Linked DNA regions of Diceros bicornis minor. The protein of the gene in region 2 purifies or fractionates together with the protein of the main gene of each other region. This does not show direct contact. Links are inferred from orthologs where the notes say so. Each region holds a gene or a part of one and is shown on either strand. Other genes may lie near its edges.

Evidence for each region.
Region 1: the proteins of RAB24 (region 2) and GDI2 purify together in Homo sapiens (affinity purification with mass spectrometry; 3 studies listed by BioGRID and IntAct, with this or other methods). This does not show direct contact. The link is inferred for Diceros bicornis minor from reciprocal best matches to the Homo sapiens genes RAB24 and GDI2.
Region 3: the proteins of RAB24 (region 2) and GDI1 purify together in Homo sapiens (affinity purification with mass spectrometry; 3 studies listed by BioGRID and IntAct, counting the BioPlex papers as one, with this or other methods). This does not show direct contact. The link is inferred for Diceros bicornis minor from reciprocal best matches to the Homo sapiens genes RAB24 and GDI1.

What each region holds. Positions count from the first base shown.
Region 1 is NC_080775.1:7,008,189-7,015,633, forward strand, and holds the start of GDI2 (rab GDP dissociation inhibitor beta), read right to left. Parts: upstream 3,015-7,445; 5' UTR 2,801-3,014; coding exon 2,756-2,800; intron 1-2,755. UniProt on the Homo sapiens protein: GDP-dissociation inhibitor preventing the GDP to GTP exchange of most Rab proteins. By keeping these small GTPases in their inactive GDP-bound form regulates intracellular membrane trafficking.
Region 2 is NC_080740.1:90,513,787-90,520,743, forward strand, and holds the start of RAB24 (ras-related protein Rab-24), read right to left. Parts: upstream 3,019-6,957; 5' UTR 2,643-3,018; coding exon 2,526-2,642; intron 2,444-2,525; coding exon 2,375-2,443; intron 2,184-2,374; coding exon 2,105-2,183; intron 1,990-2,104; coding exon 1,922-1,989; intron 1,839-1,921; coding exon 1,739-1,838; intron 1,516-1,738; coding exon 1,465-1,515; intron 1,327-1,464; coding exon 1,264-1,326; intron 1,144-1,263; coding exon 1,079-1,143; 3' UTR 1-1,078. Other genes in the region: PRELID1 (PRELI domain-containing protein 1, mitochondrial), read left to right, coding at 3,274-3,365, 3,956-4,181, 5,443-5,556, 5,661-5,739, 5,971-6,119.
Region 3 is NC_080781.1:138,372,520-138,379,852, reverse strand, and holds the start of GDI1 (rab GDP dissociation inhibitor alpha), read right to left. Parts: upstream 3,015-7,333; 5' UTR 2,837-3,014; coding exon 2,792-2,836; intron 1,594-2,791; coding exon 1,486-1,593; intron 1,343-1,485; coding exon 1,243-1,342; intron 1,100-1,242; coding exon 965-1,099; intron 490-964; coding exon 291-489; intron 24-290; coding exon 1-23. Other genes in the region: ATP6AP1 (V-type proton ATPase subunit S1), read right to left, coding at 4,208-4,417, 4,686-4,917, 5,003-5,050, 5,662-5,900, 6,345-6,430, 6,787-6,843, 7,193-7,233. UniProt on the Homo sapiens protein: Regulates the GDP/GTP exchange reaction of most Rab proteins by inhibiting the dissociation of GDP from them, and the subsequent binding of GTP to them. Promotes the dissociation of GDP-bound Rab proteins from the membrane and inhibits their activation.

The sequences.
Region 1 (7,445 bases), on a different chromosome or scaffold from region 2:
CCCATAACTGATAGCATACGCCTGTTTTCAGGTTCTTAAATCTCAGGCACTATATATTTATAAACCAAAAACTAAGAAAATTAGGGGCCAGCAGGGTGGTGCAAGCAGTTAAGTGCGCGCGCTCCGCTGCGGCGGCCCAGGGTTCACAGGTTCGGATCCCAGGCGCGCACCCATGCACCACTTGGCAAGCCATGCTGTGGCGGTGTCCCATATAAAGTGGAGGAAGATGGGCATGGATGTTAGCCCAGGGCCAGTCTTCCTCAGCAAAAAGAGGAGGATTGGCAGACGTTAGCCCAGGGCGGATCTTCCTCATAAAAAAAAAAAAAAAAAAAAAACTAGGAAAATTAAATATGTTCACTCTAAATACTCAAAGTTAATTCTAACTTGAGGGTTTTAAACTTTGGTGGTCTCTTCATTTAACTTTAAGTAATCAAAGTCCTTGTGTCACTAAAAATGAGGGTACAAGATTCATCATTATCAAAATCATCCCGTCACCACTATTCCTATCAATGATGGTAATAATGTGATTGCTCTGAATTGATATAATTCTCAAAAAATATGTCACAAAACAATCTATGAAGGCTCATAGGTATTAAAGTTATCACAGCTATAATATGATAGCAAAAATTGGTCTGATTTCTAGTTAGGTATGCGTCTACCACTCACCAAAAATCCAAATGAATCCAATTAATTAATCCTAATGAAAATTTAAATAAAGTGCATTATCTGAACTTGGTTGTTATACAAGACTGTGCTGTCTTTGCTACAATGTGATGCTTCTGAACTAGGCAGGTAGAAACCTGCGTGATGATGGATTTGCACTCATTTGTCCACGCTCAACTGACCTAACCAAGAGCAAATCTGAAAGACCAGCACTAACCGTAGAAAAACAGTGGAACTCACTGGCTCTTACAACATGCGGGCAGCAACAGTGCCCATTCCAGTGAGCAAAATCCATCACAAACTAAGCTCAGCTCAGAATCCCAATTAGGCATTTTAAAAACTAAAAAGACAACCCTGCAGTGGGTAGGCCAATTCATTTAGGCATCCAACAGTCTTCCAAATCACCACCAAAAAGGAAATTCAACCCAATATCTCACATTCAAAATGACTAAATAGCTTTCTAGGTAAGTAATCTCATCTATTTGGTACTATTTCCTAGGCAGGCACATGTCTATCTCTGGACCGGTCAAATATAATGAAGCATTCAGAAATGAGTATTCTCCAACAATCACCATAAATCACTATAAACAGAAAAATGACAGGCCAGAAAAGTGCCATTCTAGTTCCTAACAACCTTTTCCTAAAAAATTAGCCAAATTAAAGTTAAAACGTTTTCTCTTGTCTAGAGAAATCTAAAATAGTTATTTTGGAGTGTTACCTGAAAAAAATATTAATTTGATCCTGAGAGATTACAGTGCATTTCAACAACCCTGAAGCAGCGATTTACATTAAATGACCCAGAACTTTGGGATCAGATTATACAGGATACACAATATTTACATCAGCGTTCATCTTAAGACAAAGCAGCCCAAAGTCAGAATTTCAAATTTCCAAAAAATTCTAATAATGAAAATGGTCTTCTCTTCAAATGGAATCCTTTTGCAAGATGAATAGTATTCATTTTCTTAAAAAAGGACAAAAAGAAGTACTACAAGATACAACACCTGCCTGCATTATTTGCAGATTATCTAAAGGTCTCTAGACAGACAGATACCCAGGAAATTAAGTTTGCCATGGTATTAGCAACACCTTGCATTCACATGACAACTGCATTTTTTATGTTGGTACTGATTGATCTCCTAACTCCCTGAAGAGGATAGTAGTGGAGAACTTGGCCTCTGGCAATCCATCACCAACCCATGTCTTAAGGGAAAGCATCCAGAAGAGACAATGGAGTCAGGGAACAGACCAAACAAAAGGAAAACGTGGCAAAAGTCAGGTGAGAAAGGGTTTGATAGACAAGTTTTGAGAAAACTCATTTCCAATTCTACAGATGCTCCGTTAAGTGGGATAGGAGGGTGGTTACAAGGAATGGACAATGCTTCTCAACTGGAGTGGGGATAGGAAAACTACTTTTCTCCAAAAACTTAAGTTAACTGAACTCTGACAATTACAAAACAGTGATTATCCAAAGACTTGTCACAAAGCCTTGCGCCTCGTTCTGGCAGCCAGAGCTGAGTGGTAGTAGTGGCTGCAGGCTAAGCAGGAAATGCAACTGTGAGTGGCTTCCACCCTCCCCCACTCTGCCTGGCGCTTTTCCGTTTCCAATCCGGAGAGGCCATCCACCCGTGAGGGAGGTGGAGGGGCATCAACACCCCGATCCGGGCTTCTACGGTGCCTTCTGCAGCACAGCGACACTCCGCTGTTCCCCCCACCTGTATTTCGCCGTGACCACCCATCAGGGCACCCACGGGACCGCGTCTTCCATCTCCTGGCGCCCCCTTCCGCACTCAGAGACGACCCACTCCACCGGCCGACCCGCCCCTGCGCGGCCGCGAGCCCCCGCGCAGGCCCACTCCAGCTCCCGACCCCCGCGAAGTTCAGCCCCCGAAACCTCGACGGAGGACGCCCCCCGCGGCCAGGCCGAGGCTCGGGGCCGACGCGCGCAGGCCGTTCCGCGCGGTCTGGCGGGGTGGGCCTCGCCTCCCGCGGCGGGAGCGACGGGGCTGGGGAGGGGGCTGAGCCCCGGCCTCCCGCCCCCCGGCCCCCGGCCCGCCCCCGGCCCCCGGCCGCGCCGCCGCGCGGAGCTCACCGTCAGGCCGGTGCCCAGCACGATCACGTCGTACTCCTCATTCATGGCGGGGCAGGGCGAGGACGGGAGCGCAGAGGCGGCGCAGGATTCTAGGGGCAGGGGTTATGCGGCCACCCTGGCGGGGCGGGGAAGCGCTCCGGCGGCCTCGGGCCGAGGAAGAGGGCAGCCGGGAGGAGAGGTATACGGAGCTGGAGAGGACGGAGGCCGGCCGCCACCTCAGACGGGAAGAGAAGAGCGGGGCACGGAGGGGAGGGAAGGTGGGGAGGGGAGGGAGAGCGGGCGGCGACCCGGGCCTCCGCAGCCGGGGCGGGGCCTAGAGGAGGCGCTGGAGGGCCGTCGATCACGCCCTTCCCGCGCTCTCATTGGCTACGTCCCGTCGCCCGCCCAACCTTCTTCCGTTCCCACCTCTCGCGAGAAAAGGGCAGGATGCCTGCCGGTGGATTCCGGTTCCCCGCCCGGCCTCCTGCCACCGTGGTGGGAGGCGGAGGCGGTCGTGTGCGGACCCTGGAGGGCCGGAGGGGGCGTGCCCTCGGCCGGAGAGCGGCTGTCCGGTTCGTTAGTGCCGCCGCCGTGCAGGAGCCGGGGCGCGCCCCAGGCCCGCGCCCTGCCGCTGCCCTTGGACTTTGAGCCTGCGGCGGCCACGTGCGCCGGAACCGGCCGCGCGGGGTTCTAGGCGGGCGCGGGGAAGGCGGGCGGCCGCCCCGGGTTCCGCCCGCCGGGCTGGAGCCCACGTCCGGCGGCCCGACTCCCGCTGCGGCCCACGGCGGGCTCAGACCCCCCGGCGCTCCTGCGGCGCCTGGTCTCGTTTGCAACTTGTTTTGTTCTTTCTGTCCTGCCTCCCTTTTCCGAAGGAAAAAGGACCCAGCGTATTTTAAGGAGTTCAGAAATCACATACGTTTTATCTCACTTCCCGCCCTGTGTCATTCTTGCTTGTGCGTTGCCCCATGTGCACCCTTAGGAAATTCAGAAGAAAAAAAAAAACTTCCTTTTTAAAAGTAACCCTTAGAAAAAATTAAAAAAAAATAAAAGTAACCCTTGGTATAAAGAAAGGGGAAGGCCAGATTGGATTTGCAAGCAGGTCTGCGCCTACTGCGAGCTGTCACTTAGACCAGCTATAGAACTAGTATACGAATAGGTTTAGGCCATGCGTGTAGAAGAACCTTGGCCTTCCATCCCCTCTACCCCTACTTCCATCCCGCCACACACACCTTTTTTTTAGGATTCTCATTGGAATCTCCAGCTTTGGGTGAAGAGACAGGGGTAAGCAGAGGCTTGTGTTCTCACAGCAGACCCTATAGCGAGGCCTTCTAGACAAGCGATCTTCCTAAAGGCGTTGACAACCTGTATTTTCACCCTGAGATAGGTCTGCATAATCAGCCAACAAAAGAGTCGGTATTTCCTTCAAGCTTTACTTTCAAATATAGCTGGATAAGAGCTATTCAAAGTGAATCTTGGTAGACAGAACTTCCTTCATATTTAAATCATTCAGATTCAGGAAAGAATGAGAAAACATTTTTTGCAACGTTTCTTTGCCCCATAAAGAGAGTTTAAGAAAGTATGTTATATTGGAGAATAGACCTTTTTGAGGGGGAGGGAGAAGAAAGCAGTTTAAATTTACATACAGCCTTAATTGGATTTATATATATTAGTGACCAAAAGCATTTTTATAAGTAGACAAAAATCAAGAGCAAAGTTGACTACACTACTGAACAAATTATATAACAGTGGTGTAACTGAATTTTTGGTTGGCTAAACAGATGATGCCTTAAGGTCCTGCTCTTCCTCTCCAGGTAATCAGGAGTCACTCCATATATGCTTATAAACAATTATTTCTCACGGATCTGGAGGCTAGAGGTACAAGATCAAGGTGTGTCTGGTGAGGGCCCACTTCCTGTTTCTCATTGTCTTTTCATTGTGGGGCAAGGGATCTCTCTGGGGCTGCTTTTACAGGTTACCTATATATTTGAACTGACATGAAACACTGACCCTTTTTAAAAAAAATCAGTAATAACAATAAAGAGCCTTTTTCTCTTATTGTCATCAGCATCTGAATGTTGAAGAGGCTTTTAAGCCTATCAGCTGATTTATGTTACTATGTTTTAAGTGAAGGATATTTCATCAATATTCAGATAGAGTTACTGAGAAACTTAAAGGCATTGGATAAGGGAACTGAATTTAAGGCTAATAAGGCTCCTCAGTCTGATCCCTTACACTGAAATTTAGTTTTGTTGGCAGTACAAGTCCCATGGCCCAGCAGAAGGACCAAAAAAAACCTAAAAAACCAACTGGAGTAATCTTCAACAGGGTGAGTCCAAGCAAAATTGTGTCAGCTCTTGGATCTTCCACCCCACCTATTCCAGTTGCCAAGGAACTTGGTAGACAACAAATACTGTTTGTGGTGACCTGGCTTGAAAGCCACCAATTGGTTCAGTGTATCAAAGGCCACAGATGCCAGTTCTGATAGAGTGAAACAGGTTTGGAGGAAGTAGGTGGTTGGTGTAGAGGAGCGGAAAACACCATGAATCTTGAAAATATTTCAAATCCTTCTATAAAGCAAGAGTCCAGTGGGAGTCTTATTATACCTGGGCACTTGGGAATAACTGTTTGCTGATCTGTTTCTACTAAGCCTCCACCTGCACTTTACAAAGGAAGAACCTGAGTCCAAGGAAAAGAAATTTAGAGAGAACCTTAGCCCAGGCCACTTCCTCTGTCCCGAACCACTGCAACAGCTTCTCAACCCGTGTTCCCCCTCCTGTCTGTTCTGACCATTGTCTTCTTAAAATGTGAATCAGATCATGTTCATGCTTCCACCTCTTTTGCATTTAGAATAAAATGCAAATCTTTTAATATGGCCTAAAAAGTATGGTTTAATCTAGCCTCTCATCTGTCTCCCACTTCATCTTGCTTCTTGCTCGCTGCACTCCAAACACACTAGTCTTTCAGTTCCTAGAATCTGGTCAAGCTCTTAACCACCCAAGGGCCTCTTGTTGGTCCCATAGCCATCAGTCAACCTCACTTCCCCTCCTGCACTTCTTCTCACGGCTAGTTCTTTCCACTTCCTTAGTTTCAGCTAAAAAATCTTCCCTGACTAGCTCATCTAAAGTAGGTTCCTCTCAACCTTTATTCTCTATCAGCACGCCGCCTATTACTTTTTTTTTCATTGCTTTTTATCAAATTGGTAATTATTTTCTTTACTTGTTTTTTGTCTGCCTGCCAATCAGAGAGTAAACTCCATGAGGGCAGGGATATTATCTGTCGTGTGCACAGCTGTGCCCCTAACACCCAGAGCAGTGCTGAGCGCCTGCCAGATGGCGAGTAGATACTTGATGAATGAATGAGAGACCTGGAAGTTGATGCCTCAATCAACAAGGACTAAATGTGATAAAATAGGTACTAGTTCCTCTTGATACTTTTGAGAAGTGCAGCTTTACTTATAGCGGGAGATACTACAATTATATTTTAGAGGGTCTTCAAGATAGGGATCTATAAAATATAAACCTTTTTAAAACCTAGATAGCTAATGCTGAAGATAAAACATAATAGGATATCTAGAAAAAATTTAATGAATTTCCAAAAATACATATTTCCCTAGTTTATGATAGATCATTTACCCACCCCCCCACCCCCCCCCCAGTGTTCATCTGCTCCCAGTCCCCATCTCAGCAGTGACTGGCTCCACCCCGGGCCCAACCAGAATTCTAGATATCATCCTTGATTCTGCCTTCCTTCTCTCCTTCCACGTCTATTCCTGTTTTCTTTTGCTGTGTAACAAACAACCCTAGAACTTAGTGGCTTAAAAAAAAAACAACAACAAAACCTAGCGGCTTAAAACAACAATGTATTATTACCTCTTATGGTTCTGTGGGTTGAAGGGGCTCAGATGCGTGGGAATTACTTGGGTCTGTGACACAGCTGTAATCAGTGGCTGGGGTCATCTGAAGGCTGACCTGGACTGGACATCCAAGATGGTGCACTCACATGGCTAACAGCCGATGCTGGCTGTCGGCGGGCAGCTTAGCAGGGGTTGTCAGCCAGAGCAGCTATGTATGTGTGGCCTCTCCATGTGGCTTGCAGTTCTCAAAGTATCGTAGCTGTATTCCAAGAGCACAAGTTCCAAGAAACAAGAAATGGAAGCCGCAGGTCTCTTAATGTCTGGGCCCAGAAACTGGAACAGTGTCCCTTTTGCCATATCCTATTTGTCAAAGCAGTTACAGAGCACACCCAAATGCAAAAGGAGGAGCTCTCAGGCAGGACCTGCCTGTCAACAGGAAGAGTGTCAGTGAATTTGTAGCCATCCTTGATCTGCCATAACACTCCATTACATTCTAGCCTTTCCACCTCATAAAACTCCTTCCACTCCCTTCTCTTCAACCTCACTGCCACCACCCTAGTGTAGACAACCATTGGATTCTCTCCCAGATAATTGCAGAAGCTTCCTCATGGGACACTTGGCCTTCAGTTTAGCGATCTCAAACCTGTTCTCTGTATTACAGCCCAAGTGATCTTCATACAAATCAAAAGAGTGGGCCGGCCCAGTGGCATAGTGGTTAAGTTCACATGCTCCACTTCGGCAGCCAGGAGTTCACGGGTTTGGATTCCGGCCGCAGACCTACAGCACTCATCAAGCCATGCTGTGGCGGCATCCCACATACAAAATAGAGGAGGATGGGCACAGATGTTAGCTCAGGGA
Region 2 (6,957 bases):
ATTTTGGTTGAACAGGAAGCTTCAGCCCTGTCTACAGTAACACCAGATCCTTCAGAAATATCTGGATCTCCAAGGTCCAAAAATACACTTTGGGGGAAACTTGGGAGTCTGCCTTCTCTTCTGAACTAGTCCTGAACTTCCTGCCCCTTGGGCAAAAAGCTCTCCAGGGAAGAGTGAGGGAAGACAAACATTTAGTCCTAGAGTTACTTTTCACTCTTGATCTTCACAGTCCTGAACTGGGTAGTGCTCACCTCATTTTACAGAAGAGAAACTCAGGCTGAGTTCAAGTCCCTTTTCTAAGTTAGTAGCTGAACTGGATCCCAGTCTGGATCCCTAAGACCTTTCTGTCTTGCAGAACCTATGATTTTTCTACTGTTGAACCACTTTGTAGGATGTTGCTGGTAAGCTTAGGATCTGAGCCATAGGCATAACTCACAGACCTAGACATGACAGAGATGTGGTAGAGCCAGCCAGTCTGAGGTGGAAGTGCTTGACCCTTTGATCTCTAGACACCATTTAGTGCTTGCTTTGCTCTTCTCAGCACCAGGAACAAACTGAACTTTCCACTGCCCAATCTCTCACCCTATCTTTGCCCCCACTAAAGAATAGGAAAGGGCCCTTTTGTTTCTCCATTATCTCAGTCGCAACCCTGGTGTGAAGTTACTTGGTTTCCAAAGGAAAATAAGAGCTGAGAGGAGCCTTAATATAGGAAATGAGGCCAGCCAGGTGGCCCCAGAAAGAACTAGGTTGTTGACACCCAGTCCACACAGCAGGGAAAGGGGTGAGTGTGATTCACAGTGCATTGATTTTATTTACAAATCAGAAGCCACTTAAGTAATCTGCAGAGACAAGTGCTGTCCAGGGCAGAAGCCTGAGGTCCAAATCAGCCCTTACCCTCATGCCCATCAGTCAGCCCAATGCTGCCTCTGTTCCATGGGCCAGCACAGGTAGGTGCCACCTCTGCTGCCATGGGGACCTGGGGTAGCTCAAACGCTTGACCACCCAGGCCCGGACAAGAGCTAGGTCCAGCCCCTCTGGAGGAATTCCTTTAATTCCCCCAGGCCAGATGAGTGATGACTCAGTGATGACAACAGCTGTAGAAATAGGGGTTTGTCTTCTGGCCCAGGTCCACGCCCTTGTCCTCTGTCAGAGAGAGAGATGGCAGCTCAGCACCGTTCTGCGGGGGGATCGGGTAACTCCGTGAACGGGGCCAGATGCCGTGGGCCTGGAGGAAGTCTCCAAAGAGGCTAGGGAAGCACACACCTGTCATCACCTGGAAAGCAGCTACGCTGACGTAATCCTCTGCCACTTTCTGGAAGAGCTCGTCTGGCAGGAAAAAGGACGGTCAGTGAGGGCCCAATCCCAGTAGCCCTGGGATCACCCAGTGACCTAGCTCTCTAGGTTCTTCCCTGCCTCCTCTGGTGCCCTGCCTGTTCCTGCTGTGAGGCCCAAGACAGCACTCACCCACACTCTGGCCTGTCTTGCTGGATGTTTCAAAGAGCTGAGCTTTGATATCTGTAAAGAGAAGTGACTAAGGCCTCATATCTGACAATCAGGTGGACACAGACAAAGGGGAAGGGTAGCAGTTCAGGGAATCTTCTGGACCCCACAGGTCCAGGGAGGCCAGAAAGCCTTCCCAGGTGATCTTGCCATGGCAGCCAAGGCAGTCCCTATTTTCTGTGACCCACCCAAGCAGCCACTTCCCTCCCCCTCCCCCAGGGAGCTGAGGAGCAGCTACTGTCAGCATAGTCCTGGACATCATGGAAGTCCACACGTCGACGCCGCCTGTCCTCCTCTAGCAGGTCACTCTTGGTGCCACACAGGTAGATCTGACAGCCCTGAAGCAGAAGACAAGGTGGGTCACCCCCACAGACCACCAGCGCCCCAGCTCCTGGTCCTCTGGTGAGGTCTCGCTGCCTACCTCCTCTAGGTTGCGCAGTTCCTTCACCCAGAACTTTGCCCGCTCAAAGCTGCTGCTGTCCGTAAGGTCTTGGGAGGGGTATAGGACGCGCAAGAAACACAACCAAGAGTCAGGGGCTGTTCTCTAAGGCCAGCCTGGCACCCACCCCTTCTTGTTTGAGAAATAGGCCAGAACCCTCCTTACCATAGCAGACGATGGCAGCCTTGGCGCCCCTATAGTAGATTCGGCTCATGGCCTCGTAGCGCTCAGAGCCTGCTGTGTCCTGAAAGGCAGGGGGAGGCTCAGACCTGGCCTGAGTTCCTGAGCACTCCCCAGGTCCTCCACACCCCCATTTTTAAACTGGGGTCTAGAAGAGAAATGGCCTCTGTGAAGCCACAAGTCAGTCAGTAATAGGCAGGACCTAAGCCTCCTCAAGAATGGGGTCTCCCAGGACTACTTGCCCACGGGACTTACCCAAATACCCAAAGTCACCGTCCGGTCTCCGACGGACATCACCTTGGCCACGAAGGCGGCCCCGATGGTCTGCAACCAGAGCGAAGGGCTCAGGGCCGCGGTGTGAGCTGGCCCCCTCCCACCCGTGCCTGTTCCCGCGGGGCGCACTCACGTTCTGATAGGGCCCCACCAGGAAGCGGTCGTGCACGTATCGCTCCACCAGGCTCGTCTTGCCCACGTACTCCTTGCCCAGCATCACCACCTTGACGTCCACGCGCTGCCCGCTCATGCTCCCGGGGCCGCCTCACCCACCTCAGGGGCCTGAGCGGCGGCGGGAGGCAAACCCGAATCTCCGGTCGGGCAGGCGGCGCCCAAGCCTCAGTCCCTGACCCGGGGCGCCAACCTGCGACTCGAGATACCGCGTCGGGCTCGAGCCTTGGCAGCGCCCCCGTCTGCCCCCGCTCTTCGGTCCCGGGCGCTGCTCCTCCTTCGAAGGAAGAGCCCAGGACCCGGGGCGGCCTGGGAGCGCGCGGGGCAGCGCCCTCAACGGCGCCGCACGCCGCCGCCCGCTCGCCCGCCGGGTTAGGCGCTGTCCGGCACGAATTCCTCACCGAGCCCAGGGTCCCGCCGACCTGCCTCCGGCCTGCTGCGCCTGGACTCCCGCAGGGGGAGGAGTGAGGGGCGGGGCCACGAGGTCACGTGCACAGGCGCCGGAAGTGGTGGGTTCAGCGCTGCTGCGCCGGAAGTAGTGCGCGTCCCGACTGCTCCTCATGGCGGCGGTGGCTGGTTGGGCGCGGCGCAGTGGTGACTGAGCTGCGAGCCTGGCGGGCGTGCGCCGAGCCCCGGCCCGGCCTCCGCGTGCCCCCCGGGCTCCGCACCCCTGATGCTTCGCGGGTGTTGAGCCCGCCCCGGCTGGGACGATGGTGAAGTATTTCCTGGGCCAGAGCGTGCTCCGGAGTTCCTGGGACCAAGTGTTCGCTGCCTTTTGGCAGCGGTACCCGAATCCCTATAGGTACGTGGCCCTGGAGAGAGCAGCCCTCCCCCTCGCTGTTTGGAGTTCGAAGTGTGGGGCCAGGAAAGACTCGACATCGAGTCCGAGGTAGGGGATCGCCGGCACTGTGGCCGTCTGTAGGGCAAGAGGGACCCTATCCGGGAAGCGGCCGAGCCAGGCCTGCAAAGGTACTTGGAAGGAGGCTGGGCCTGGGCGGTGGTTTACTTGAGGCCCTAGTCTAAGGTTCTCTCATCTCTGGGTGGTGAGACTGGAAGAGCCGGCGGCACAGGAGTTGGGAGGGACCTTGGGGTTGGAAATCCTGGCGCTTGCCTAGTCCTCTGCCTGTGGCGCTCTCCGGTGGTGCAATAAATCATGAGGCCCAGCCCTGCTGGATGGCCCAGGAATCCAGGTCAGCGAGGGGGCAGGAGTTGGAATTTGCCCTAGGATAGGCTCAAGGGCTTCGAGTTCAGGTCTGAGCCACAGCACAGATCACTCTGCAAGTTTAGGGGAAGGCATGGCCATTTTGGGCTGGGGGGCTCCAGATGGGAACCCCAACAGGCCGTCTCTCAGGGGCAGGCTCCCGAGGGTCACCTTCACTCTGACACCTGCAGCAAACATGTCTTGACGGAAGACATAGTGCACCGGGAGGTGACCCCTGACCAGAAGCTCCTGTCCCGGCGACTCCTGACCAAGACCAACAGGATGCCCCGCTGGGCAGAGCGACTGTTTCCTGCCAATGTTGCTCACTCGGTGTACATCCTGGAGGATTCTATTGTGGACCCACAGAACCAGACCATGACCACCTTCACCTGGAACATCAACCACGCACGGCTGATGGTGAGACCCTCCTTGGTCCCCCCCAAAAGTAGAGAGCTCCAGTACATGTGGCTAGGGAGGCACGAGGGAGCTTCTATGGTCTGAGGCAGAGCTGGGTTACTGAGGAATGATGGCTCTAGAGTACAGATTCTAATGATCTTTTCAGCTGGCTACCCTCTCTTGACCTCTCTTTTAACCCATTTCATACAGTGGGCGGGGTACCTGTTTTACAGAGTTGTTGCGGGTAGTAAATGCAGGGCATTCACACTGTTCCTGGCACATGTATAGGTTGGGCCTACAGGAGTGATGCTGAGAAAGGGAGGCAGTGGTTTTCAACCAGCAGTCCACCAAGCCATAAGGGTGCCTTGGATGTGCCTGAGAGTGAGAGAGGACCTGGGGCCCTTGCCTCACGTTGGCTAGAGAAGTTGCACTTTTATCTGTCTTATATAATGGGTTTTATATAATGGGTTTTTTCCTGAGAATTTGGGGAAAAGAGGTTCCACATACCTTTGATCTCTTGCCTTTCAAAAAACTTGAAAGCCTACAGTTCAAAGAACATTCTACAGTATCTTCTCACATGTGAATACCCTGAAAGCTTTCAGAGAATGCTCATTCTCTTTTTCAGCTAATCTGTTACTCCCTATTGTGCAAAGAAGGAAGTGAGCTTCAGAGAGGGGTAGTGTCCTATGAGGTCACAGAGTGAGTAGGCACGTTAATACTCTGCCCCAGAGTTATCTGAAGGCCTCCCAGCTGACTATCCTAAGGGCATTACCTCTGTTCTGTAAATTACCAAGATAGCCATCCAGTTGTGAGAATGTCTTTCAATCCAGCTATGAGACACGTTTTAAGTGTTTCTCTTGAAAGTAGTGGTTCACACTCCTCTCATAATGAGAGCTGTGAGGATTGCCAGATTTCCGTTTTTATTTGGACTGCCAGGGAGCTCAAGAGCTGCGATAGGTGGAAGGCAGGCTAACAACACTGCACATGTCTAGACATAACGGTACAAAACAAAATCCAGGGCCAGGGTGGAGCTGGAAGGCCCTCTGCCTTCCACGTGCCTTTTAGTTTGAAGGGTCAGAGGAGAGGTTTTAGAGAACAAAATGACCTATTTTATGTTCTTACTCTTTTCCTGAAACGCAGCTTGGGGATGCAATAAGGGAAAGGAATGGATTTTCATTTTTTTGCTTTCTCTCGTGAAAAGAGACAGGGGATCAAATTTATATGCAAGTTGGCAAAGTGAAAGACTGCCACATGATTGTGGTTGGCCCGACTCCCTGCACAGGTGGTGGAGGAACGATGTGTTTACTGTGTGAACTCTGATAACAGTGGCTGGACCGAAATCCGCCGGGAAGCCTGGGTCTCCTCTGGCTTATTTGGCGTCTCCAGAGCTGTCCAGGTGAGCAGCGTTGTGGGGGTGCTGGGGCTCTGGCATTTGGCAGAGAGGCTGGGCTGGGGGTCAGTGGGCAGCTCTGAATCCTTTCCCTTCCCACATTTTGCCAGGAATTTGGTCTTGCCCGGTTCAAAAGCAACGTGACCAAGACTATGAAAGGTTTTGAATACATCTTGGCCAAGCTGCAAGGTGAGTTCTCTGGGCACAGGCAGAGGCTGGGGTCAAGTCCTAGCTGCCCTGACTGGTGTGGAGCGTGGGGCTGTCACTACCAACTCTTAAGCCTGGGGTGCCTCATCTGTACCTTGGGGCAAACACTGCCTTTCCAGTGGGGCCCGGCCCACAGGAGGTAAATGTCGCGGGGGGTGACTAGGTGGGTCTTTGTGGCGTCCTCTGAAGCCAGCCCCTTGCCCTTTGCTGCAGGTGAGGCTCCTTCCAAATCTCTTGTTGAGACAGCCAAGGAAGCCAAGGAGAAGGCAAAGGAGACAGCACTGGCAGCTACAGAGAAGGCCAAGGACCTTGCCAGCAAGGCAGCCACCAAGAAGCAGCAGCAGCAACAGCAATTCGTGTAGGCAGCCCAGGCCCTGGGGCGGCGGCCCATCAGACTACCAGGCTCAGGTCCCTCTGCTCTCTCCCCTCGTACTTGATGATTAAAAGGCAACTTCCAGCTCTCTCTACTGTCTGGGTGGTGGGCTGGGGATGGGGTATCCTGTTAGGCATCTACAGTGCACCAGGCACATTATCCATATCTGAGCCGGGCCTGCTCATTCTCACGTTGGGCAGCTGAGGACAGAGGCACAGAGAGGTGCAGTGACCTGCTCAGGGTCACAGACAGCATGTGGGTTACGTGGTCATAAATGCTAGACTGTACGCTCCACGAGAGCAAGACCTGTGTTTTGTTCTCTGCTGTGTCTAGGTACTGGAACAAGATCTAGCACATAACAGGCACTGAATAAATATCTGTTGAGTTCAGTTAGCCCAGCTCTGAAGTCAGAAAGCTTTGGTTCGAATCTTGACTCCACTGTTTCCTGGCTTTGGACCTTAGGCTAGTCACATCACTCAGCCTCAGTGCCCCTGCAAAGTGGGGACAGACGGCCTCCCAAGCTGTGGGGATTAAAGGGGCCCCACCTGTCACGGTCAACAGTATTAGTGGTGGCTATTGATTGCACTTCCTCTTTTCCAGTTTGTCTGTGGCTGGGAGTTTCCCCATTTTCATCAGGCAAAACCATGGACAGGAAGTTAAGAAAGAGGCTTTTAATGAAAATACTGTACAGTATCTGTGGGGCAAAGGCCAGTGGCCCTTGTCTAGGAAGGAATGTGAAGGCCCAAGAGGCTTCCTGCCCCCATGGGGACGGCAGAGCCAAGTGCTACAAAAGACGCCTAGAAGGGCAGTGCAGGCCCAAGCTGCCT
Region 3 (7,333 bases), on a different chromosome or scaffold from region 2:
CAAGACAGGGCTGGTCCAGGTAGCTGGGGGGACGGGTTCAGGAGAAGAGGCTCCAATAGCAGCACCCCTGGCTTCTCCCTACCCAGGCCCCAAGCCATCCTTCCCACCACCCTCAATGACCTGGGGAAGACTATGGGTCAAAAGCAGGGAAGGGACGGGAGAGGCCACAGGTGACTGTATGACCAAGTACAAGAGATGTACAGGGTGGGCTGAGGCAGCAGCAAGCAGGAGCGGGGAGGGCAGGGTGCAGGCTGGGCAAGGGGTGGTCCACCATGCCAGCTTCCCCTCACTCATCAGTGCGGTAGAGCGCCAGGGCATGGCCAGTGAAGTCGATGACATCCTGGCCCAGGTCAAACTTCCGGTAGACTTCACGCATGCTGGTGCTCTGGGGGTCAACGCCCTCAAAGGTCTTGGGGTCATTCTCATCAAAGTTTGCCACAAACACCAGGAACTTGCGGAAGCGCCGTTTCTCAAACATGCCCATCAGATCTGCGAAAGCAATGTGAGGAGAGCATTTGCACCACAGAAAGTGAACCTCTCCTTCCCACCAGGCAGGCCGAGAAAGCAGGCACCCCAGCTCCCAGCTGAGTTCTGTTGCTGACCACCATGTGACCTTACGTTAACTGCTCTGCCTTTCTTGAGCTCAGTTTCCCTATCTGTATGAAGAGGGATGGCTCAACAGGCTCTGAGGGCCCTCCTGGTTCTGACACGTGGGGATGTTTCACCTGTTAGGTGGAGCCCCTGTCAAAGGCTTAAGTCTTTCAAGAAAGAGATCCCCCACACATCCCCTCTGTGTATGGAGTCCCCTCCTGGCAACAAGTGTGAGGCACAGCCTGGGGTGGTGCAGAGAAGACAGAGCAAGGGGCTTCTGGTACTGCATGGGGAATGTGACCTTGGGCACGGGGCACCCTGCTCTGGACAGCTGCCCTCCCATGATTCTCTGGCTCAAGGGACGTGCACTCACTGGAAGCCAAGGCTTCAGTCTCGGTGGACGGCACTTTGTAGATCTTGCCCCCCTTGTAGACGAAGCTGCCCTCCACCACTTTGAAGTCCAGGTAGCGTGTCACCTCTGTATACAGTAGCATCTTTACCAGCTGCCCTGTGGGGCAGTAGGGAGAAGACAACAATATCAGCATGGCTCCTTCCAGAAGTTCTAGCTGGTCTGGCTGCCCTTTCTCTGGAACCTGACCCTCCTCTGGTTGTCTCAGTCACCCCCCACAATACCTCCTTCGTCTCCCTCACCATTGGCCATGAGGAATTTGGGGATCAGGTCAACATTCCAGTCTCGGCCCCGGCCCATCGCCTCAGGGGGCCCGTCCAGCAATTGAAAACGCTTATACAGCTGCAAGCAGAAAGGAGAGAAAGAGAGGTACCTCAAGGACTAGCCCTCCCTGCCCCTGCCCCCAGCCCAAAGAACCTGGGGAGCTGATTCGGTACCCTATGTGAGAGATCAATGAGAGATAGGCCTGGCCCTGGCAGCCTCACCTCCTCCAGGGGTGTGATGGAGGAGCTCTCGCCCCCATAGTAGGGATTCCGGTCCATGTGCAGCACCTTCTTCCCATTCACGGACATAATGCCCGACAGGATGCATTCCTGGGGAAGGAGTGACATTCACTGCATTTCCCACCTACCCACATTCCCACTAGCAGCTCTGATTTGTTCCCCACTCCAAACCTGAGAGAAGAGCAAAGCCAGAAGGACTCTACCCCAAAGGACAGCTCCTTCCACCCCCGGCTGGTCGCCTCGCCTAAAATTGGGGGCAACGGCTTCATCTCACCACAGCCTCCTTTATAACCTTGCTGAGCGAACAAGGAGGAGAGAAACACTGGCGGCGTTGAGGGAGAGAGAGTGTCCAGCAGACACACAGATGGTCCTCCGGCAACTAACATGCCAAGAAAGTCCTCTATCTACGTAGATGCCCACGGAAAGGCAGGTAGGAGGACACAATGATCCACGGAGGAGACCCAGCTGCACAGCGAATGGTACCCGAAAGGGAAGTGAAGAAACGCTCACCCGGTCTTGAGATCGCAGGCCCCACCCTGGGCTGCTCTTTCCTCAAAGGGCAGGAGCCTTCTCGGCCACGGGAGGGGTTTCTGTGCCCCGACTGAGGGAGATGAGCCTCTCGGGGGGGGGGGGGGGGGGGGTCAAACGGGGTTTGAGGAAGGGGGAAGATAAACACCCTCCCCCATCACTGTCACTAGCCCAAGGACAAAGGCTGCAGATAATACTCAGCCTGAGATCTCCAAGGGAAACCGGGGTGAGGTAGCGGGAATGTGGTCACTGCCCCCACTGATGCTCTTTCTAGAACATTCTATGGGTCCCCAGGCCCCATAAGAAGCCGGGGAGGGAAGATGACGGCCCACCCCGGCGACGCCCTCCGACCCGAGGTCCTCATACCAGGATTAGCGCCAAGATAGGAGCGGATGCTAGGAGAGCGAGGGTGAGGGGCGAGGGGATCAGGAGGCACCGGAGGACATCGGGACGAGTGGGGGGGTGCGTCTTCCAGCCTGGCAGGCCAGAATGGGGAGGTGGGGAGGGATGGGAGTCGGGGCCCGGGGAGTCGAGGGGGCGGCCAGGAAGAGGGCTGCTTGTTGGAGACCGGGCCACGGCGATGGGTAGAGGCGACGTCGCGGGGGGTCGGACACCCGGCTGTCTTTTTGGGGACCCGAGCGCCGGGGGCGGCAGCGCCGCGGTGGGCAGTGACGGGAGGATGGGGCCGGCGGCCGGGAGGTGCAGCCCCGCGGGAAGGAGGGGGCGATGCGGGACCCCAGGCGCCCGAGGCCGCACTTACGGTCAGGCCGGTCCCCAACACGATCACATCGTATTCCTCGTCCATGGTCAGGCCTCGCTGCCAGCGCAAGTCGACTCCTCCTCCTCCTTCACCACAGCCGCCGCCGCCGCACTGGACCAAAGATGGCGGCGCGTCGGCCGCCGTCGGACCCCTCCGCCGCGTCAAAGAGTCCGGCCCCTCCCAGCGCCCTGCCGCGCCCGACCGGGGCCGCTGCCTTTCCGTCTCGCCTCCCAGGAGGGCTGCCGGAGCCCGGGACCCAGCACCACCGCGGCTCCGCGGGCGGCGGCGATGGGCAAGGGCCCTGAGGCGGGCGGGGCGGGGCGGGGCGGGCCGGCGGCCAGTTCTGCGGCCCGCGAGGGATCCGTGCGCGGGAGCAGCGCGCGCCCCGCCCGCCCCGCCCGCCCCCCGGGAGGCTCGGCGCGTTCCCGCGGGCTGGGCGCGCGCCGCTGCGGCAGCCGAGGGCGACCCCTTCGGGACGTGAGGGCAGCCTTTGTAGCGGCCGACTCCCTCAGGCGTTGATCGCCGCCGCGCCACGGCACTCTCCCTACGCTAGCCGGTGAGGGGCCCAGCTTGCTAAAGACCCTCTAGGTCTCCCCTGGCTCCGGGAGAAGCAGCCCACAGGGGAACTTCGAGTCCTCCCCACCTCCCCCTTGGCCTGGCTCAGCTACAGCTACATCCGGGCGCCTCCTCCCGCAGCCCTAAGCCAAGCTCATCCCTCGTGCCCAGTGCAGAAATGAGTGACAAGAGGCCCACGCATGGCGACCCGTCTTTATTTTATTAGGAAGGAAACCACCGAGTACCCCAGGCTCCTGCCAGGCACTCCTGGCGGCAACATGCCAGAAACCCAGTGATCATACCCAGCCCACCTGCCGTGGAAGACCCTTCCTTATCAGGCCACAGAAATAAACCCCAGTGTACTGTTTATTGTTAGCACAACATCACCAAAAAACAATAACACCAGCCAAGTGGGACAGACAGCTAAATAGTACTTCAGCACCCCCAAACTTAGGGAACCTCCAGCTCCTGGCTGCTGCAGGGAGCCCCATAAAGCGTGGGGAGGGAGCACTGGCCACAAAAGCACTATAAACAGCAAGGGGTGAAGGCAGAGAGATGAGAATAAATAAGGAGAAAGGGGGAGGAGGAGGGGCCCTAGAACTCAGGTCCCCTCCCCTCACAATGCCCAAACCTGGGAGATTTTTCTACTAGCAATGCAGAATATATACATCTTCTTGGTAGAGATGGGGGGTGGGCAGCCCCAGGAAAGCCCCTCAGTTGAACAGGGAGCAAGACAGACTGAGGGGAGCTGTGGGTTCACACTATAGTAGGAAGAGGGGAAGCCCTTCAGTCCAGCATGCCTCAGGGTGGGAAAGCAACAACCTGGACACATCATGCCCTCAACCCCCCATGGGCACAGGGTCACACAATCTGGGTCAAAGAGATGGTGGGGCCCTTGTGGTCATCAAAGCGGTCCATGGTCTTGAGGCTGAGGATCATGTGCAGGCCATAGGTGAAGATGAAGAGCATGAAAAGGGAGGTGAGCAGCCCCATCCAGATGCCAGGAGAGAAGAAGCCGGCACAGTCACTGGCGTAGGAGAACTGCTCACCTGTCACACTGAAGGCCTGGATCTGGGGCACAGAAAGAACCATGTAGCCCCACACAGAGGGAGGCCCAGTAAGGGCCAGGATTCCCGAGTGAGTGGGTAGTCTAGATCTCACGAGATGGGAGCACCGTGGGGATGGGACTCTCAACTACATTCCTGAGCCCAAACCCAAACTCAAAGGATGCTGGGACTCTTCAGGCCTCTGTTCCCTCCCCCCTCTCCCAGTATCCTGTGAGCTCCAGCCTGGGATTGCGGACTCGAGGCTCAGTCCCTCGGTGCTCCCCGCTCCCTACCTGGAAGTCCTGAAGCGTGATTTGCCAGAGAGAGGGCTGCATGCGGGGCACAAGGATATTGCCGTTCTTGCTCCAAGTGCTGACATACTCGCAGTGGAAGGAGTAGATGCTGGGCCCCGTGACCCGGGAGGCATTGAAGGAGACAATGGAGCCGTTGCTGTGGATCTCAAGGTGCTCCATGGTAAACCAGTGTCGGGCGGACACCGGGTAGAAGCGGTTAGCCAGAATAAACCTGAGGGAGGCCACGGGGTGTCACGCAGCTGGGGAGGCTGGGGCCACACCAGCGCGCCCACACCTCAGCCACCCCTCAGACTCACTTGAATGTCACTGTGGTACCAAAGAGGTGTTCGTAGGTCAGCGAGAGCCTGCAGAACCAGAGTAAGAGGCAAGTTGTCAGGCTCTGGGAGGGCCTTGAATGTCTCAGAGCAAATTCCTCAGATCTACTCCTACCTAAGCTGCCCTGGGGTCTCACAGCCACCTGAAGAGACAGCAACCCCACTTGACAGATGGGAAAACTCAGGCTCTGACACATTCTAAGTCAGGAACCAGTATGCACGTCCCCCACCTCCAGCTGAGGGCTCCTTCCTCGGGCTCCCTTGAGCCCAGTGACTCTCCTTTCAGCTCCCTCCTGGAGTCACTGAGGTGCCCAGGTTGGGCTGTGGGGGGTAAGGGCAGTCTCTCTTATCACACAGGAAGGATACAGGAGCCCCAGAGCTGGTTTAGGCCTGGTACACGCCCTTGTGCAGTCGCCTTGATGTTGCTCAAGGGGGAGGCGTCAGGTTCCCAGGTGACTGGGAAGTGTTAACAACTAAGGTCCCAGTCAAGGACTAGAGGGCACTGGGAGGCAGAAATCTGAGCATGCCCCACTCCAAGAGCCCTCCATCAGCCCCATCCCATGATACCACCTACATCCCCACAGTGAACATGCCCCCCAACACACCCCCCACCCCTGCAGTGGCAGGTACTTTGCCCTTACTTGGCAACGGAATCATTCCAGAAGGAGCCGGTCAGGTTGAGCTCCTGGACCCCAAACGTGAGGGAGGTCAGGTCCTCCCAGTGGTCCCCGTATGCCACCGAGAAGTTTTGGGCCCAGAACAGGATCCGGGGGGCGGTGTCATTGTAACTCACAGGAGGATGGATCACAGACGATGCTGGCTGTTTTTGCAACAGCTGGCGACCTAGCCCACCAGCCACCATGGCTACATCGCGGGCCACCTGCAGAAACAGTCCACAAGCCTTCTCTCAACAGCCCTGGGAGCAGGCCCCAGACCAAGTGGGTCTGCCCTCACTGTCTCCACTGGGCACCCTCTCCACCATCTGCAGTCCCAAGGGTCATATTTGGAGGCCTTTCCTCCAGGAAGCTTTCCCCTGCTGGCCCCTAAGCTTTTGTGAGAATCCTAGTCCCTCAAACTTAGGAATACTTGGACTGTTGCCTACGTATGCCAGCCCGTAAGACTGACAGGGCAAAACAGAAACCTGCTGCCTAGAAGAAGGAAGGAGGACTTTACTGTTCACCCCCATTCCCCCCATATTGGCCCAGGGGAGAATCTGGCCTCCCCAATGCGCTCCACACTCTGCTTGAAGTCATCCCCCCTCCAGGCCAACTCACCACGCGGCCTCTGCCCACACCTCCCAGAGCCCCTGAGGAGAGGCACATACCCTGGAAGGGCGGAGTGCTGTGAGGGCTGCTGTGTATGGGACATCTTCGGACTTGAGCATGCTCAGTACCTGCCCAATGACCTCATCTGAGGGACAACGGGGAGAGCAGAGAACCAGGTCACGGGCGGCACTTACAGCAATGCTCCCCACGCCTGTTAGAACCCATCTGACCATTGTTGCACAGCAGAAGCCAGCAGAGGCAAGGCCGTGCCCTTCCACACGTCACATCAGTGCCCCCTCTTGATGGCGTTCAGTGAGATCACCTCGTTGAGGTGGGGACCACCAGGCATCTGCACTGTGAAGTCCCCCCACCTCTGGCAACTGGCATGTCCTCTATGGTGGGACACTGAGACCCTTGCAGAGCCAGCTCCCATCAACCTTCACTAGTGTTTTCAGTTTCCAGTGAGGATCCCTAACAGTAGCTGCTTCTTATCCCACCTACCCCCAGCCTCCTCCTGGACATCTGTGGCCTCAGTCGTCGACTCCCTGATGCCAAGCCCTAATTAAGTGGAACAAAATAGAGATAGAGAAAACTCCAAATCCACCTGTGGAAGGTTCACAAGACATTTCCATGGGGGTGACTGTCCTTTATAGAAACTCTAGGATTCACGCTGCCTGAGTGGAAAGTGGCATGGAGGCCCCTAGATGTCTTGACTCCTCTGCCAGGCAGGGCCCAGCTGGAGAAGGGTGAGGTCTGGGGGCCAGCATTTCCCTACTCAGCTGCCAGGTGCTCCGAAGCAGGGGGACTGCCCTGGGAGTGAGGAGGGGCTGAGGAGCTGCAGACCAGCTTTCTGGGGCCCAGGGCTGGAGGAGGACAGAAAATGTGCACCCTCCCTGACCTCACTCACCATTGCCTGTGAGGACCTCCCTCGGCGCCATCAGACCTGAGCTATGGAAGACACAGAGCGGTTGAGCCCCTGCAACCCAAACAGCTGTCCCCCACCCCAGGCTGCCATCCTTTCCCACCAGCCCCACTCACCAGGCACACT